3 linked regions of the Yarrowia lipolytica genome follow. The protein of the gene in region 1 binds, or shares a complex with, the protein of each later gene. Links are inferred from orthologs where the notes say so. Each region holds a gene or a part of one and is shown on either strand. Other genes may lie near its edges.

Evidence for each region.
Region 2: YALI1_E28130g (region 1) and YALI1_F39183g share a complex: the UniProt entries of both Saccharomyces cerevisiae proteins name them as parts of the mitochondrial large ribosomal subunit. The link is inferred for Yarrowia lipolytica from reciprocal best matches to the Saccharomyces cerevisiae genes MRPL22 and MRP35.
Region 3: YALI1_E28130g (region 1) and YALI1_F13602g share a complex: the UniProt entries of both Saccharomyces cerevisiae proteins name them as parts of the mitochondrial large ribosomal subunit. The link is inferred for Yarrowia lipolytica from reciprocal best matches to the Saccharomyces cerevisiae genes MRPL22 and MRPL9.

Annotation. Positions count from the first base shown.
Region 1 is NC_090774.1:2,810,408-2,816,174, forward strand, and holds YALI1_E28130g (mitochondrial 54S ribosomal protein uL22m), read right to left. Parts: upstream 2,660-5,767; coding exon 1,781-2,659; downstream 1-1,780. Other genes in the region: YALI1_E28107g (uncharacterized protein), read left to right, coding at 289-330, 598-745, 1,130-1,176; YALI1_E28150g (uncharacterized protein), read right to left, coding at 3,670-4,575; YALI1_E28156g (uncharacterized protein), read left to right, coding at 5,232-5,296, 5,351-5,767. UniProt on the Saccharomyces cerevisiae protein: Component of the mitochondrial ribosome (mitoribosome), a dedicated translation machinery responsible for the synthesis of mitochondrial genome-encoded proteins, including at least some of the essential transmembrane subunits of the mitochondrial respiratory chain.
Region 2 is NC_090775.1:3,914,889-3,920,748, reverse strand, and holds YALI1_F39183g (uncharacterized protein), read right to left. Parts: upstream 2,399-5,860; coding exon 2,246-2,398; intron 1,893-2,245; coding exon 1,758-1,892; downstream 1-1,757. Other genes in the region: YALI1_F39236g (uncharacterized protein), read left to right, coding at 1-254; YALI1_F39199g (uncharacterized protein), read left to right, coding at 767-1,450; YALI1_F39176g (uncharacterized protein), read right to left, coding at 2,765-2,872, 2,969-3,115; YALI1_F39164g (uncharacterized protein), read right to left, coding at 3,467-4,300; YALI1_F39159g (uncharacterized protein), read left to right, coding at 4,838-5,860. UniProt on the Saccharomyces cerevisiae protein: Component of the mitochondrial ribosome (mitoribosome), a dedicated translation machinery responsible for the synthesis of mitochondrial genome-encoded proteins, including at least some of the essential transmembrane subunits of the mitochondrial respiratory chain.
Region 3 is NC_090775.1:1,356,779-1,362,883, forward strand, and holds YALI1_F13602g (mitochondrial 54S ribosomal protein uL3m), read left to right. Parts: upstream 1-3,493; coding exon 3,494-4,348; downstream 4,349-6,105. Other genes in the region: YALI1_F13550g (uncharacterized protein), read left to right, coding at 1-692; YALI1_F13579g (mitochondrial 54S ribosomal protein uL6m), read left to right, coding at 1,197-1,808; YALI1_F13597g (uncharacterized protein), read right to left, coding at 2,260-2,931; YALI1_F13644g (uncharacterized protein), read right to left, coding at 4,641-6,105. UniProt on the Saccharomyces cerevisiae protein: Component of the mitochondrial ribosome (mitoribosome), a dedicated translation machinery responsible for the synthesis of mitochondrial genome-encoded proteins, including at least some of the essential transmembrane subunits of the mitochondrial respiratory chain.

The DNA.
Region 1 (5,767 bases):
TATTTTTATTTGTTTTATCTTATTTTACTATTTTTCTTGTTTTTTATTTTTATTGAGGACTTTTCTCTGTCTCCCTGCTCATTAATTCGCTTCGTATTTCCCCATTTATTCCTCCTATTTAACCATTCAATTCCCGTAAATTCACCTGAATTTTTCCTCCCAGCTTACTAAGCAGATCCAGCCCACGGGCCAATCACGACGAGGGTAACTAAAAGCCAAAACCACCACTGTGCATTTGTCGCCCAAAATCCAATATCAGGGAAACGAGACACAAACGGACACTCGACAATGATCAACGCTAACCCCGGCTTCTGGAACGGCCCCTTTCGAGTGAGTATCGCGCAGCGGGTTTCGAGAGCACAAAACGCCGCGGCCTGGCCGTAAACACACCCAGAAATGGCTATGTCAATCGACACAAGGTGACCCCAACACCAAAGAGACGTGGTGGGTGGAACGAATGACCGTATGAATGGAACGACCATATGAATGGAATGAACAGCTGATTCACTCTCGGGTCTTTCGTTTGTGCCACGTCACCGAGATGTCTGCAGACTATGTAGAGACTGACTCCGTCTGAGCCCCACTAACACAACCCAGTACCTTCGATGGTCTGCTCATAACCGACCCCATCTCTTCTTCGCCTTCGCCATTGGAATCGCCGGCCCTGTCGCCGCGCTCACACTGACTCCTCTACGAAGAAAGTACCTTTACCCCGATCACAGCCCCCTTCCCCAATCATATCCTCGTGAGTATTATTAAGAGTTGTTGCGTTGCAATGGACGTCGGTGGTTGACAAAACTGCCAGTCTGTCTGATGGTCTGTGATAGTCTGTGATTGGTCTGTGATGTTTGTGATTGTCTGTGATTTGTCTTGTGATTGTCTGTGGATTGTCTGTGGATTGTCTGTGATTGTCTGTGATTTTCTGTGATTGTTCTGTGATTGGTCTGTCTGGTAACTGGACGAGCTGATCCCAAGCCACCATGACTACCTCAATCAACCGAATCAGACTGCAGTCGACTAGATCAACTGACCAGACTACTGAGCTTCTACGGTCTGAGTCGCAGGCCCTGCGGTCATCGGCTCATACCGTCAGCCTCCACTGCACCCCATTTTTACTATACTAACCGAGTCCCCCAGCGTGCTCGAGAGCAGCTCACTGGCTTCGATGACGAGTAAATAGCATGAATTCATTAGACTTATAAGTTGCACAGACCGAGGGACGGCACTTGGAGGAAGATGGTCGGTACAATTGGACTGTAGCCCAACCTGCCGCAACACTTCATGATGGAGTACCAACGACCACCCGACAAGTTGGAGTCGTTCGGAAGGTGTATCTTGGAACAGTACATATATACTCGTACTTCTAGATGTTAATAGTCAGAACTCCAGATCACACTGTTCCATTCATATAAATGTCCTGACAAGTAGGTGCAAGTGCAGACGTATGACCAACACCTCTTCTCCGAGATTATGTTCGACAGATGATTAGTGTATTCTACTGTCTAAGCACAGCCCTTCGTCATTTACATATCAACTGGTACATACAGTACTCGTTCCTCTGAGCTCTTAGATCATCTTCACCTGTTTCATGGAAGCGATCTCGTCACCTGATATGTTCCAGCTGCTACCCCGTTGCTGCTACTTCTGTTACTCATTCTTCGGTGGCTTACTCGTTAAGAACTAACAACTCGTTTCGCACGCTATTCGCTCATCGGTTACTCATTTTGTTCATTTCGTTCGAGCAACGCGCTATGCTCGTCACTCGCCCTAGCTATATACATTACCATCGGTAGTCAGACTTGAGGTACCCATCTCCCACCTTTCGGGTCTCGTGCTGGAACACGGGCTTCTTGGCCAGGCGCTTGTACTCCTTGTCACGGGCCTCTCGCTGCTGGGTCACGGGGGTTCGCAGAATAGCCCGGATGTGGATGTACTCGGCGTGTTTCATGCCGGCTCGTCCTCGGCCCTTCGGGTCCACGAACCGGAACTTTCGGGGGTCCGAGCCGACCCAGATCTCGTCAATGTACAGAGTCTCGGGGTCAATGTTCATGTCCTTGGCGGCGCTGACTCCTCGCTGGAGCAGCTCAGCAACGGGTCGGCCCATTCGCTTGGCAGAAAACTGGCACTGAGTGATGGCCTCACGCACGTTCATCTTACGCAGCATTCGCAGCAGCAGCTGGGCCTTCTTCCAGGTGCCGTCGATTCGGTACGACTTGCAGTAGACAGAGGGCTCGAACGCCTTGATCTCGTTGGGCGACAGCACCATCTGGTACTCCCGGCCGTCGACAGACACCTTTTTGGTCTTGTCGTAGCCCTTGTGCTGGCTCTGGTAGGCGTCCCACAGCCGCTGCTTGAGGGCGGTGCCGTACTTTGCAATACCCACCTCCGCCTCGCCCTTTTGCTCGGCAATGTACTCCTGCAGCTTGGTGTCGTTTTTGAACGATGGCAGCTTGCCCTTGGTCTCGTCGGCGTTCTGCTCGACCTCCTTGGATCTCTTGTTTGCCGTCGCCTTGTCCAGATCCTGCTTGATGGACTCCTTGTTTTCTGTCATGCTGCCGAACCAGTCGTTGGATCGCGCGGCGGTAGAGTGGAACGGCCGCAGGGCAACCAGCCGGGAGGCCGGCGCCACGCTTTTGCCAAACATCTTCTTCCACAGCATGGTTGTGTGTGCTGTTATACGGTCAGTGAGGGCTCGTATGGTGATGCGTCAACTGGAGATAGATTTTTCAGGGTACGGGTTAACAGAGAGTCAACCTAAACGGGAGAAACTGCAACAACCGTGAGACAAGAGTATACTGTCGGAGCCGAATCGGAGTTAGGAGCGATATAAGTGGTTGTAGGAAGGAATCTTGTCCTCGTTTACACATAAGTCGGTCGAACAACACCAATAATCACCTCATTCTTCAATCCCCATCCTTTCTTCAACCCATGCAGTAGTCTGGAGAGTGGTGTCGGGTCCCGTGGGTTCGATTCCAGGTTGTGTTCATTCTTGTATGCACTTTTAGAATTGTTAATATGTTGATGAAGAGCACGGTTTTTGGTTATCCTGGGGTCTACGTATGTATTAATTCTGTCTTTTGAATATCTCTACTATCATTACTTGTTTCAGTAGACACCTCCTCTCTATATATACTCGGATATATTGACATGATTTAGTATACACAGCCAACAGAGTGGTTATTATTGGTACTGGATTAGTAAGCAATGTAAGATCACGTGAGAAGACACAACCGAAACAGCTGTCTCAGATTCTTCGCTCTTGACACTTGTATCTCTCTCATGGTGTCTGGAAGCCCGCAACCGAGACATATAGCATGGTCTTTTTTAGTTGACTTTTAGTTGAAAGAAGAAGTTGTGATGGGTTTCTGTCTGGTGCTCCAGTTGCTTTCGTAGAGAAAAAAGCGTATAAAACTGTAGAGCAGTGTCACACAGTCTCCGATATATACTATTGACATGATATTTCTGTTACAAACTCGCCCATTCGACACAGTTATGTGATTTCAAGCTGATACTTTACTTGAATGTTTAGTTGACAAGTGTGTCTGGCGTGGGTCCGAATACAACGACTACAGTGCTCTTTGAGATTTGCAGTGTCCACTCTCTCTACCCTCTCATGTCATAATCATTAAATATGTAAATGCAGTGTATCACGATTTTCTATCCTCACGGTCACGCCATGTCTCTCAGTTCCACCTCGCCCGAACGCAACAGTCGATGGCCCTCATCGCTGTCGTCTTCTTCTCCCATCACTTCCACGTCCACGGGCTTCACGTACTTCCTCTTGACCAGAGGACGACATCCCTTGTATTTCACCTGCTGGTAGAGCAGAACGAGATCCCAGAAAAAGCGGAACCAGCATGCCCAAAAGAGACCCGAGGGACGCACGGCCCGCACGACTTTGTTTCGGTTTCTCTCCTTGGTGGGCTTGGCCTTTTTGGCGCCCAGAACGTCGAGAATCCCGAAAAACGCGCCCGCCAGATCCAGCACAATGAGCAAAAACGACGAGCCCACACAGCTCTGCACCGTCCAGTTGCACGACACCTGCGGCACGTAACGGGCGTAGACGCTGAAGTCTCCGATGATTCCAAGCCAGTCCACCACGTCAATGAACTTGATACCCAGATAGCCGACTCCAGGAGGCGAGGGCACCTTTGCAAAGGGATGGGACTTGACCGCCATCAGCAGGAACACAAGCACGCCGAAAAAAAGACCCATAATCACCTTGCATTCCAGAGACCACGACTGCGCATTGGTCTGGGTGTGTCTGTATGAATACCACGCCTGCACAGCACACACGCCCCACACCAATGACTCGTTCAAGTCAATTAGGGCAATCACCCCGGACGCGCTGGGCATATCAAACGCTAACGGGTATCTCTGCACAAACTGCCGATGGACCAGATCGCTGTTGATGTATGTGAGGGTGAAGACGAAATGACACACCGCCCCCACGAACGCCCAGAGTCCGTAGTCGAGCGAAAAGCCAGCCACCGACGACCGTTTGTTGTTGAGAACGGCCTGCGGATACGGCGTAAGCAGCCGCAACGCCTGGTGCAAATATATCCATCCCGTCATAGCTGGGTCGATATGCCGTAATTATATATGAGATGAGGTATATATTGAGACCGCGTATGCATGCTTGGTGCAGTATGCATAAACCTTAATATGATACATTATATAGCGGGGTGAGTTGGATATTGAGGTTGGCTGATATTGAGGTTTTGTCGATTGGGGAAAGGAGATTGGCGAATTTGGTAGACAGAAGAGATATTGTGATACATGTTCACACACTCTGCGGTTCATCCAGTACTTTGTAAGCGTAATATAGATTCGACTGTAACTTGCCCATTATTCTCACAGGCGACTAAAGAATAAAAGAAATGGATTCCTCAGATACAGAGGATCATTTTGGTACCAGGAACGGGTGGTTTAGATGGCGTTCATGTGCTGTTATGTGTTACTTTGACTTGTTATGTTGATGTTCTACTTAGAGAGAGTGGGAGTGCGGCAAGTGCGTCGCGGCAAGGGGTGTGTTTCCCCTGTTTTTTTTTTCCCCCTCTTTTTTCTTCTTCTTTCTACTCATCGCTTTACCACCCTCCTTTGGCGCATCTAACACTCCAACCATAGTCCTTCGACTCAATCGCCCAATTTGATCTCTTCACTTGTCACCAACCTCTCCTGTGCAGTTGTCATGTGCTCCACCACAACTCCTCTTCCTGGCGACATGACAAATGGGGCTACTCACGATCATCAAGAAACAAAAGCTCAAGGATAAGGAGATCCGTGTGCTCATGCTGTGAGTGAGAGGAAGCGACGTGTCTGGGTGTGAGAGGGAACAGTACTAACACAGTGGTCTGGACAACTCGGGCAAGACGACGATAGTCAAGAAGATTCTCAACGAGGACGTGAACGAGGTGTCTCCGACGCTGGGCTTCAACATCCGCACGGTGACAAGGGGCCAGTACAAGCTCAACATCTGGGACATTGGCGGCCAAAAGACTCTGCGACCTTTCTGGAGAAACTACTTTGAGAAGACGGACTTCATGATCTGGGTGGTAGACGCCAGTGCCACCGACCGACTCCACGATTGCCGCAAAGAGCTGCAAGCGATTCTCAACGAGGACCGACTGGTTGGAGCCGGAGTGCTCATCTGGATCAACAAGCTGGATCTGGTGGACCCAGATCAGCGGGACAAGACCGTTGAACGCATCAGCGGCCATCTGGACCTCGACCAGATCCCCGAGGGCCACAACACCACCATAATGGG
Region 2 (5,860 bases), on another chromosome or scaffold:
CTCCTGATCTGGAGACGTTCCTGTCTGTGGTGACCAAGATCCCTGACAATACCTACGTCAAGTTGCGTATTGTCACGTTTGACAACGTGGCGTTTGCGTGTTCCATGAAGATGAACTACCACTACTTCCCCACGGCGGAGATCAAAAAGGAGGGCAATGAGTGGGTTGGATACAGTTATAAGGACGGTAAGCGAGTCAAGGAGAGCGATGAAAATGTCGAGGAGCAGGTGAACGAGGCTGAAAAGCAAGAGTAAATAGAGACCCAAAAATGTATAGATTGCATGTTTAGTTACAGAGGTGTTATTGTTTGTAGTCTATGGCACGGGTACAAGTACAGTACTGTACGTTATGTAGTGTGGAGTGAGGCTGTAGTAATCGTAGTATGACATGTTGTGCTACTTGTAGAACAATACACTACCGCGCAATTAAGTGCTCGGACTCATCACCGATCTTATCATCTTGCCAACGACAACTGGTCACACGACTTTTCACTCCATGTATTCAGGCACCCCACATTCTCCACCTTGAGGATTACCCCAATATATTTATTATATGGAGAGCTAAAAGTACACAAGACATGACCCAACAAGACCTGGTGGCAAAAGCCATAATCAAGTGGAACATAGATTAACAGTGATGCTTGTCATGTGGAGACGCAGACGTGAGTGTGTGTGTCACCTACAGTAGATTTGTTGAGAAATATCCACTGTTATTGCAGTATCGCGCCTGGTACGAGTACTTGTTGAAGCTATCTGTAAGACCCTACATGGACCCTACATACCCTATCGTATCGTACATTTCCATATCAGCGCTTACAGTTACCCCAGAATGTTTATTACACGCTACTGGTCGCCACAAAGAGCAAATGTGGAAGAATAACACGCCAGAGGTTGCACTGGCACGTAGCAAGCAGGAGGGGAACTCGCAAGCTGCATCTACCCCTTATAATTATGTTGCAATAGTCTTGTTTTGCCCCATGACGTTCGTGGACCCGAGGTCACGTGCACTCAACAACCTTACTGGTCCTGTCTTTGTTGCATGGCGACGAAAGTCTCTGAAAGGCTGTAAGGCTATATATAATCAAAAAAGCGCCCCTGGGTCCGCTGTAATCAGAAAACACTCTCAAGAAACACAAATGCTCGATATCTGTGACGCCGACAAACAACAATTAGTGACAAGCGTGATTGAACAGTGCAACCGCGAGTCCAACGCCTCAGCATTTGGAGATCGACTCCATTATTGGTTGACTGGCGAGGAGCTCAAGCCTTTTGTGCCTGAAAAAAATGTCGGTCTTTTGGCCAACGAGCCCTCTTCAGATCGACAAGAGTATGCTCCTCGTGAGTCTGCCATTGAGTGGGACTCTGGTCTGTCCAGCCTTAACCCTGTGGATGCTGTTGAAATGATGGGTTATGGTGTCTATTTTATTGGTTGGTTGTTGCTTGGCCAGTAACCCCCCTCTGCTACAATTGTAGTATGATACTTACGACATTCATATCGCTGGTACTTTCGCAGTACCGCGTCTCCACCACGGCCTGAGTACAAGTGCTGTACCTACCCACGGCCTAGCTGTCCCATCAAAACCGTGATCTAAACCCCGCGCGCCCTATTTATTATTTGCAGAGTATGCAATGATTACATCTTATACAGAAAAATACATCAATTAATTTAAACAGCTCGGTACGTGCACTACGAACTTGTATCCGTCTGTACTGTACAGACTTCTCGTGCATCCAAGAGGGTTCTAATTGCTATATACATTAAGGGGATTGTTTGAAAGGCACGTACTTCTTGACATGCTTCTTCTGGAAACCGGTGAGCTCGGTCATACCGGTCTTCTTTCGCAGCAGAGCAGCGGACCATCCAGTGTTTCCGTGCTTTCGTCCGGTTTTTCCCTGAGTTAGTGGCGATCTGGAAGTTGTCATTGTTGATGTGTTCAGCTACAAGAGGTTATGAGTGTCTTGCTTGATCTGAGTGCCTGGTAAGCAACAAAAAAAACAAAAAAAACGCAGTGTGCGTAATCAGCCTGGTTGTGACAGGTAGTTCCGTGTCTGGTATCTCTTCTAGCTGCTGAAACAGTTAATCATCTCAGCTTGAAAGCTGTGTAACATAAGGCCATGATCAGATCAGAGGCAAAACTTTTCCGGCACTGAAATATCAGCTATCCACTCTATCATGGCTTGATCGGAGTCGCTCCCAGCATTCCTTTTTCCTTATTTCCCCTCCTCTCCATCCTTGTGGCACTCACTCTGGTGATCTTTCCACTACCACAGATCTTGATTCGGTTGGCAACGGCCTTTTTGGTCTTGACATGGGCGGACTTGCAAGTGTTTCGCACAAACATCTGCGCCACGTTGTTCATGGCCACAGTCGGCCGTAGCGACTGAATCAGAGACAGCATTTTTGTATGGTCGTGTATGTGTGGTGATAGAGTCTGATATTCCAACCGACGATTTTGCAAAACCTTGTTTGTCACGTGGCGAGGTTTTCTTGCAGTGACTTACACAGGTGTGTTTGGGGTACTGGAAGGTGGCCGATGACTTCTTGCGGCGAGAGGACTTTTTATAAATCGTTAGAAAGTGTTTAGATTTCCCTATAAAATCTGTCGAACTTCATCCTTTTACTAGATTTTAAAAAAATTCACCCGTAACTCACAGACACCCTTGCACACTTACAGAGAAAAGCCTGACTAACACAGACTTGATACAAGTGAGAAACTCGTTTTTTCACATCTTGGCCAGCAGAATCGTTCAATTAATATATACATTTACTTCTTCTTTTCATCCTCCTCCACGAGCTTGCCGCCGTTCTCAAACGGAGCCTGCTTTCGAGCCTCGTCAATCATCTTTCCAACACCCTTCTTGGCAAGAGCGGCCTGGGTTAGTAAATACTGTGAGTGGTACGCCGGGTACCGATCTCCTGAATCGATCCTAATTCATCTCCAGGCTGCCCTCTCCCTCTCCCTACTCACCTTGACGCAATCCTCGTACTCGTGCCACAGATCGGCACACTCGTTCTCCATGGACTCTCCCTTGAGGAACTTCTCCGAGTACCAGTTGTTGAAGCAGTTGTCGTACTCCTTCTTGGCTTTAGTGCATTCCGGGGCAAAGGAGTTCATTGTGACGGTCGAGTGTAAAGTCGAAAATCATGCTTCACCGAGATGCCTGTATGCAACCCAAAATGATTATGTAAGCGAGTATACCTGATTCGGCCATGAGCTGAACGGGAACGACCATCCACACAACCCTAGGCAACCAACCATAGTATTCAGATATATTAGTCTGTCTGTCTTACTCATTAATAATAAAAATTCGTTTCACATTATCGGCGGAAGGCACTCAAAGCCACCACAATCCACATTCTTCTTCTTTTTCCCGCCCAAGCTGCTATCCTGGTTGTCGCAAGAGACGGAGCTCATCACGGTAGCTACCAAACTATTGTTTCAACCATGCCGTTTTCATCACTCAGTTTACAAAAACACCTTGCTGGTGACAGCATTGGCAGCTCGTGTACTTTCCGTTATCTTTCGCATCTCTCCCTCTCGCAGAACCAGTCCCATGAGTAGGATGACCTCGGAAAGATGAGTGCCACCATTGAAAATGCTAAACTCGCCAACCCGGCGCTGCTTCTTCAGTCTGCCCTCAGTCAGATAACTGTAGGCTCCTATGCAAGGACCACAGAGGGTGTCTGAGTCTGGCAGCACATTACCCTGTCTCTCAGTATGTTCGGTGTCAACAAGCCGCAGATGAAAGAATCCAGAGCCATAAGTGTTGGCAATGCCCGTCGTTCCGTACCATTGCAACTGCACGCCTTCGTAAGAAGCTGTAGTCACCCGCCTGGTTCCATGGGTAACCATGGTGATGTTGTCCCGCTCGCTGTCCACAAAGGTGAGAATGTACTCGATACGGTCGTTGTCAAGTACCTTTTGTGTCACACTGCACAGAAGCGACTTGTAGCACTCGGTTCCAGACATTGACACAGCCTCGCTACCTGGGCTCTGCTTATCGTCCAGCCGGTAAATCTCCATGTAGGTCTTGCCGAAGAAATGCGTGGACACAGACAGAATGGGTTTTTTGAGGCCATCGTCAAAAACGGTCACTCCATGTCGAAACATGGCCGAGTATATGCTGTAGACATCCCGTTCTCGCGGGTCGCCTTCAGGGGTTTCAAACAGCGTGGAGACCGCGGACTTGTTGTCGTCAAAGAGCGTTTCGTGCGAGGAGCGGGTGTCGGTGCGCTCCAGTGGTGCTCCAGCCTCGCCCGCTGCGCTGTTTTTCAGTGCCTTTTTCAATAGTCGCTGCATTATAGAGCTTGGTCAGTTTATTTTTTGCGCCTGAAAAACGCACTTGAAATTTTAGGAACTAAACGTTAGTGCATGACTGCTGCACTTGGCGCGTGACCCAAATGGCTATTCAGGTTCTGGGCAAGTTCTGGGCTACCCCAACCCCGACTTCTCAAAAGGGTATGACAGAAGTCTCAGAATAACATTTCAAAATACAACCACAACATTGCATGGGAAGGAGAATAATAATCTAAGACCCAGGTGATGGATTCCTGCAGGATGCGATGCTGCAGGTCAAGTGCCAGACCTGCTATATGATATAATGCCTCTTGAGCTCTCTCTCCCATACTACATACGAGTCTCACCTATTCTTCTCTCAACACCTGCCAGGGTGGTTTATACGACTTGGTTTTAACACCCAGCGATTCAAGGTAGGGGAACCAACTCTGTTCATCGCATTTGAAACCTAAAGGCGCGTTTCGCGCTCTGAATCCAAAACAGTGAGAGTGTCAATCATCACAAGCAGATTGAAGAGACGAGACGTAAACCCCAACCAAGATGCCATCACGACCAATGGCCCAAACCGTGGGAGCCGCCCTCGTTATTGGCGCCGACGACACGTCGCACTACGAAATGACCCGTGATGAGTCCTTTGTCATGTCGGAACAGCGCCGAAGAGCTTTCATGAGAGCGGTGCCAAACTACTCGTCCTCCACGCTCAACACCGTCGCCAGCGAGAGCTATTGCATCCCCGAAGACGTTTTGCATGCCGCCGGGGGCACGTCGACTCCAGAGAAGAAGCTGAACCAGCCCAGACAGCCTTCTGGAAGCCCTGTCCCTTTCAACACACATCATCAGACCACGACAACAACACATGCCCAACAACGGGCTGCACCAACTACACAGCATAACAAGAGTTTACAGAACTCCTCCTCCACATCTACACTTCGAGACTCAGACCTGGACCGCTTCGAGGACGCCGAGGAAGACGGAGATGTGTCTCTAGACTCGCCAGACACCTCAGCCGAGGTGTGCGTTGCCACAGTAGCTAGACTGGCTCCACCTAGTACAGGCACCCGGGGCATTTTCCACAAGAATGCAGGCATAGGACATGGTCTCGGTCACCGGCCACAACAGCCCACGGTGGCTCCTCGACCACAGACGCACGACCCACGGGCAAAGGTGAAACCCAACAACAACTCGGGGCCCTCCGGAGTATATGCTCGTATCAAGATGAAGGAGGTGGAGATCGAGCGACAGTTTGACGCTTTGGTAAGACAGACGGTCAAGAGCAAGAAGGAAGGACATGGAGGCATTGCAGCTGAGAAGCCACGAGCCGCCTCGGACAGTGCATCGATTAGCTCAAGGGAGTCGCACGCATCACGGGCAGACCGAGTGGCCCAGCTGCAACAGCAGTCGGACAAGCTGTTTGAGTTGTCACGTGCAATCACAGTGGAGATTGATCTCATCAAGAAGATGGGGCCGACCACGACATACAAAAACTTCTCTGCCAACACTGGAGGCAGGTCGACGAATCTGACCCAGAATCTGGCTGACCTGGAAACCAAGAAGCAGGCCGTG
Region 3 (6,105 bases), on another chromosome or scaffold:
TTAAGCATTCGCAGTCGTCCAACCAGATTTCTGCGCTCAAACCTCCTTCTCGTCACATGTCTGCTTCATCGGCAACCACAGCACATACGCGTCTTCGGAACCGAAAGTCGTTTTCTCATGCACGTATCAAGAGTGATGCGGCCGCTGTGTTCGACAAGGAGCCTATTCACGAGACGCCCAAGTCGTCGCCTCAGAGCTCGTATGTCAACTTGCACCGATCTGCAAGTGAGCGGTCGAGACGACCCAAGTCTGCATTCAATCTGGGCTCTCTGCCGACCTCTCCTCTTTATCATCCGCATCTGACCCACTCCATGTCTATGGGGGGAGCCAATCAGGCGCCTCTGTACAATCCTGGGCGCGGTTCTGTGTCTCAGAACACCTCCCCTGGGACCAAAATCCCCGGAAACGCTGATCCGTCGTACTTTGATGGACCCAACAATGTGCGTTTCCACTGGGACAGCGACGACGACGATGTGCGAGAGACGGAGTTCCTCAACAACATGTCTTCGTCGTCTTCACGAAGAGTTTCTCCTGTCCAGAGTCGTCGAGCCAGTGTTGATGGACTGCGAAACTCTGTCGTATCCACCGCCACCAGTGTCACCGACGGTTCCGTGTCCAGCAGACCGTCCCGAGCGTGGGAGAGCATTTCCCAGCTGTTTGAAGGGGACGAGAACTGTTCTGACTCGTGCTAACCTGTGGCATGGCTAACGTTGATATACAATAGACAGTATCGGTATCGATATGACAATACATTTTGGGTAGATGAGCGATCGAAGATAGAACCAGCAACTACTAATACGCCTACGGTTAAGGCTTTCATGAGCATTTGCAGCTTATGATTGTTGTTACAGTATTTTTTCTTTCTTTCTTCTGTTTCTTGTTTCTTCTCAACTAGAGTTCACTAAAGTTGCTTTTGTTAGTTGGAATTAGTTGGGGATAATATACAGTCTTATTTGATCGACTTTACCTGAGATTTGGGCGGCAAATAACTTGATGAACCCTTCCAAATGGTCTATTGAGGGATTCTATTTTCCTAATATTCTCTTATTGCATCATTACTTATTGGTAGGCTGTTTCTGGTCAATTACATAGTGCATATAAAGTTCAAGTTAGCACCTGCGGGAATCGAACCGCAGCGTGAAAAAACTACACCTCTTGATCCATCGCCAATCATCCAGATCATCTCACACACAAAAATGCTGCGAACCCGTGCCTTTTCCACGTCGGCGCGAGTGCTGAGCTACATTGGAAAGCAGCCCATTCTCGTTCCCGAGTCGGTGACGCTGCAGATCTCGCCCACTGAGGTGGTGGTTGAGGGTCCTCTGGGACGAGTCCAGATGTCCAAGCCGACTTTTGTCAACATTGCATCGTCCCAGGACACCATGAGCTCCGGCTCTGTGCTGTCTGTGTCGGTTAACGACGCCACCAACAAGACGCAGCGAGCCATGTGGGGCACCATGCGAGGCCTCATCAACAACCATGTGACTGGTGTGACTGATGGCCATGTCGCTCTTCTGACCTTGGTGGGAACTGGATACCGAGCTGGAGTCGAGAAGGACGCCCACACCGGCGCTCCCATTGTCTCCGTTCGATGCGGTTTCTCCCACCCCATCAACTTTGTCATTCCTGCTGGCATCGAGGTGACTACACCCATCCCCACTCGAATTCTCATCAAGGGCGCTGACAAACAGCAGGTCAAGCTGTTTGGAGCTTCCATTCGACTCAAGCGACCCCCGGAGCCTTACAAGGGCAAGGGAATCTACCTCGACGACGAGACCATCACCCGAAAGGCCACCAAGGTGAAATAAATGTAAATAGATTGGTTATGAAAAGATTTGACACGACACCAGTAGCATGTGGCTTCTGTTGAGGTTAGCATGAATCGCGCAACCAACAAACCTGTAGAAACAGAACCTGTACTTGTACAGTAGCGCACGCCGCTTTGGCTATACCCTCGCATGACATATCTCGAACGATACCCCGACAAGAGGCGATGACAAGGATACCAACTCGTCTGAATGAGTATCTGAGTCTGACAGTCCGATAAGATACCGAAGCAGTTCTCGTACTACAGGCTAATGTATATATCATATCCAACAAACGGCTCGCTCTAGAGACTCTCATTATTGATATTATCCCAAAATGGATCCATAGGCCGCTACATTCACGTCTACAACTCAAGCAGGCTAGTCATTCTATGTACATAAGCTGAATGTCGACAGTAGCGTCGCATTCTAGGATTCGTCAACATGACAAGGTCTAGTTAACAAGATGTTCCTCCTCATCAATGATGAGGGGATCAATGAGTGAGTCGGCCAGGTTGACGACTCGTCCGTCTGGGAAGGTCAGAGACCACTCGAGCACTCGGAACTTTTCTCGGCCGGAGGCTCGTCGCGAGTTGAAATGCATGATGGCCTCGGCCTTGTTTCCCTTGACGGGGAAGGAGAAGTCCACCTTTCCAACAAGAGGACGAATGGTTCCCGACACCCAGGTGTAGGCACTGGCGAATCGGATACCCGAGCCCAGCTCCTCGTTGGCCAGGGGCGACTTTCGGAGCGTGTACATGCAAGATGAGACCTGCGAAGACGACATCTTCTCGTAGTTGAAGGAGAAGGCCAGAGACACGGTCATGATGACCACAAACAGACCAAATCCGGCCCATCGGCGCATCTTGTGGCTGGTAATGTTAGGCAGCTCCGTGTCCACGGTGACAGGTGCATTGGGCACCTTTTCGGGCGTGAACGGCTCAAAGGTGTGGCCCTCGTAACGTCGCAGGTTTCGGTCTTCGGGCAGCAGCTTTTCGTCGTCCTTCTTGGCGTCGGTCGACTGCTGGTGGAGCCACAGACGGCTGGTTGTGGACAGGGGTCGGGCGACCGAGAGAGGTCGCAGCAACGAAGGCAGAGCTCGTTGGGGACGCAGTAGTCGAAGCATTGTGTGAGTGTGTGCGAGGTGTGTGGTGGACTGCTCTGATATTGTAAGACGTACGGTATATTTGCTTTTATAGTTTGTATGGGTGTGGGTAGAAGGAGCTCTCCAAAGACCACCAGTAGCAGGTGTTTGGGAGCAAGTTGCACCGGAAAGAACTAACAGAGAGATTTGCACTGTAGATGTGGGTTGGTTTATGGGCAATTGGGGGGAAAAAGACCCCTATCGATGGTCATACTGTCCGCTTAAGATTACTTTCACCTCAGATTAACTTACTTAACAAACAGACTCAGCGTTACTTGAGAAATAGCTACAATTGTATCGAGGAAACAGATGACTTCAAACCAGCACCAAAAAGTGTGGGATTGAAAAAAATGACACCGGCAATCAACTTGCAGAGTCCACCATGGTATTTCAGCTCTTTCTCAGCCGTTGTCATTACCCCCCCTCGGTTCCTAAGTAAACGCAGGTTGGTCCTCCCACCTAGCTTCAAAGTTACCCTACCGTGAAATTTCCCAAGATTTTGACATTGCAGAACCACCACCCAGATCTGATCACACACACAAAAATGTTGCCTCGACTCCGTCTCATGGCAGAGGCCACTCCCGTGCGCGTGTTCAGCCGCGGCGTGGCCCAGCTCATCTCGCCCAACGCCAACGTCCCCGCCGCCGAGGCTCCCGCTCGAAACAACTCGCCTGCGGCCGCCTACGCCCGAAAGCAGCTGGTGTCTCGAACCGGAGCTCTGGCGTTCAAGCGAGGCATGATCTCGTGGTACGACGAGAACGGCGTGCACATGCCCGCCACGGTGCTGGAGATTGATCTGTGCCAGGTGGTGGGCCACAAGACCGAGGAGAAGCACGGATACAACGCCGTCCAGGTCGGAATGGGACACAGAAACAAGGCGCTGCAGAAGATGAACAAGAGCAAACTCGGCCAGTTTTCGGCCGCCACCGTCAACCCCAAGCAGGCGGTTGCCGAGTTTCGAATCCGCGGCAAGGACGGCCTTCTTCCCATCACCACCGAGATCACTGCCTCGCACTTCAAGGTCGGCCAGTACGTCGATGTCCAGGCCACCTCCAAGGGTAAGGGATTCTCCGGAGTCATGAAGCGACACGGCTTCTCCGGTCTGCCCGCTTCCCATGGTGTTTCGCTCAAGCATCGATCCGGAGGAACTACCGGTCAAAACACCGATCCTGGACGAGTGTTCCCCGGACGAAAAATGGCCGGAAACATGGGTAACGAGACCGTCACCCTCAAGAACCAAAAGGTGCTATCCGTTGACGAGGACACCGGAATTGTCATTGTCAAGGGCATGGTCCCCGGCTCCAAGGGCAAGATTGTCAAGCTCAGCGACGCCCGAAACATGTACGGCGTGGCCGCCCATGATGTCAAGTCCAGACTCGGTCCTCTGGTCCCTGAATAAATGTATATAGATCGCATAGTGCAATAACCGCGGAAGCGGATAACAGAGAATCGACGGGGTAGATAGATGGCTTGTAGAACCGCATAAGGTCGTGGACAACAGCCCTCTCCAGGCGAATCGTTGCTACAAGTAGTTGTACATACAAGATACTATTACAAGTACAAGTATACGGGCACAAATACTCGTACTAGTATCGTACGATGGTACACAGATATTTTCAACAATATATTTACTGAATGATATGGATGGTCTCACTTACAATTTTGCTCGGATCTTTGGCTCCGCTCATGATCTACAAATCCTCGTCCATATCGGCGGGCTTGACCAAACCGCCAATCTTGAGAGCCTTCTCCTTGTTCTGTCGCTCGGCCTCGACCCGATCCCGCTCCTTGTCCTCGGCGTACAAATGCTCCGTGTTGCCTCCGCCATACTCCTTGATCTGCACCAGGAAGTCTCGCAGATTGAGCTTGAACCGGGGGAAGTCCTTGTGTAATGCAAACAGACCCTCAATGAAGTTGGACACCTGGCCCTCGGTCAGATGAGGGAAGGCCTCCAGCAGCATGTGGCCCATGTACTGCCGCAGATAGACAGAGTTGGACGTGCCATCGGGCACCTGGCCGGGCTGGTACAGAGGCACCGAGATGGCGTTGGACTCGACCAGATCAATCTGCTTGGCCAGCACCTGGCACTGCTGCTTGAAGCCGGCCTTGTGGTCCGTGTCTGTGAGCACATGGAACATACCCTGCAGAATGTTGAAAAAGTAGTTCTGGTAGAACTTTGCGGCAAACTCAGGTGTGGCCTTCTCGGACACGTTTTGCAGCAGCTCGTATGTCAGAGCCAGACCTGCAGACTCCACCTCTCGGTGATCGTGTTTGGAAGCCCACAGACACGCGTCCACCACGAGAGAAAAGCCCTCGTCGGGAAGAGTAACAATGGCAGCAAACGAGTACAGGTTGATGGCTCGCAGCAGCTCAAAAAAGCCAACTCGGTGCTCGGGGTAGTCGGTGAAGTTGGTGTTGATCATGTTGAGAGTGCACTCAAACACATTCTGCAGAATCATGACAACTCCGTCGGGAATCTGGCCGCCCACGCGGGTCACGACCGTGTTCATGCAGTTGAGCACCTCGGCGTCTCGAGCGTCAGGCACGTTGGAGCTGTAGTCCTCCAGGACGGCCTGGAAGAGAGGAGGCGCCAGGTTCTGCGACACATCCTCGAGGTTGTCGGCGGTGGAGACGTAGGTCTGGATCAGCTTCAGCGACTCCTTCTTGATGGTTCGCAGACCTCGAACCTTGGGGGTTCGGGTAGCAATCTGGCCCTGCGAAGCCACTGCCTCGGAAATGGTGCTGGACACGGCCCGGTACAGGTGCAGCATGTCCATGTAGATGAGCTTCAGCTGGGGCTGGAAGCCGGCGCCGAGAGCGGTGCAGGTGGCCACATTGGTTTTCATCACGTTGGAGAAAGTCTTGACGGGCTCAGGGTTGGACAGAATGTCAGGGTCGTTTCGAGCCTGGTTCATGAGCTGCTCCCAGGCCTGATTGGGGAGTCGCATGAGCTCAGAAAGCAGCCGTTCTCGAATGGCTCGGGCGTTCTGGGCGGAAATGATATGGCCACAGGCCTCGTAGAACGTGTGGACCTGCGAGGGCTGCAGCGCCTCGGTGATCTCGCCCAGATCTCGAACGATCTCATCGATGAAAGGCTCTGTCTCGTTGGGCTGCTGGGCCACAAAGTGCCGCTTGCACTTTTGCGCAATCTTGATA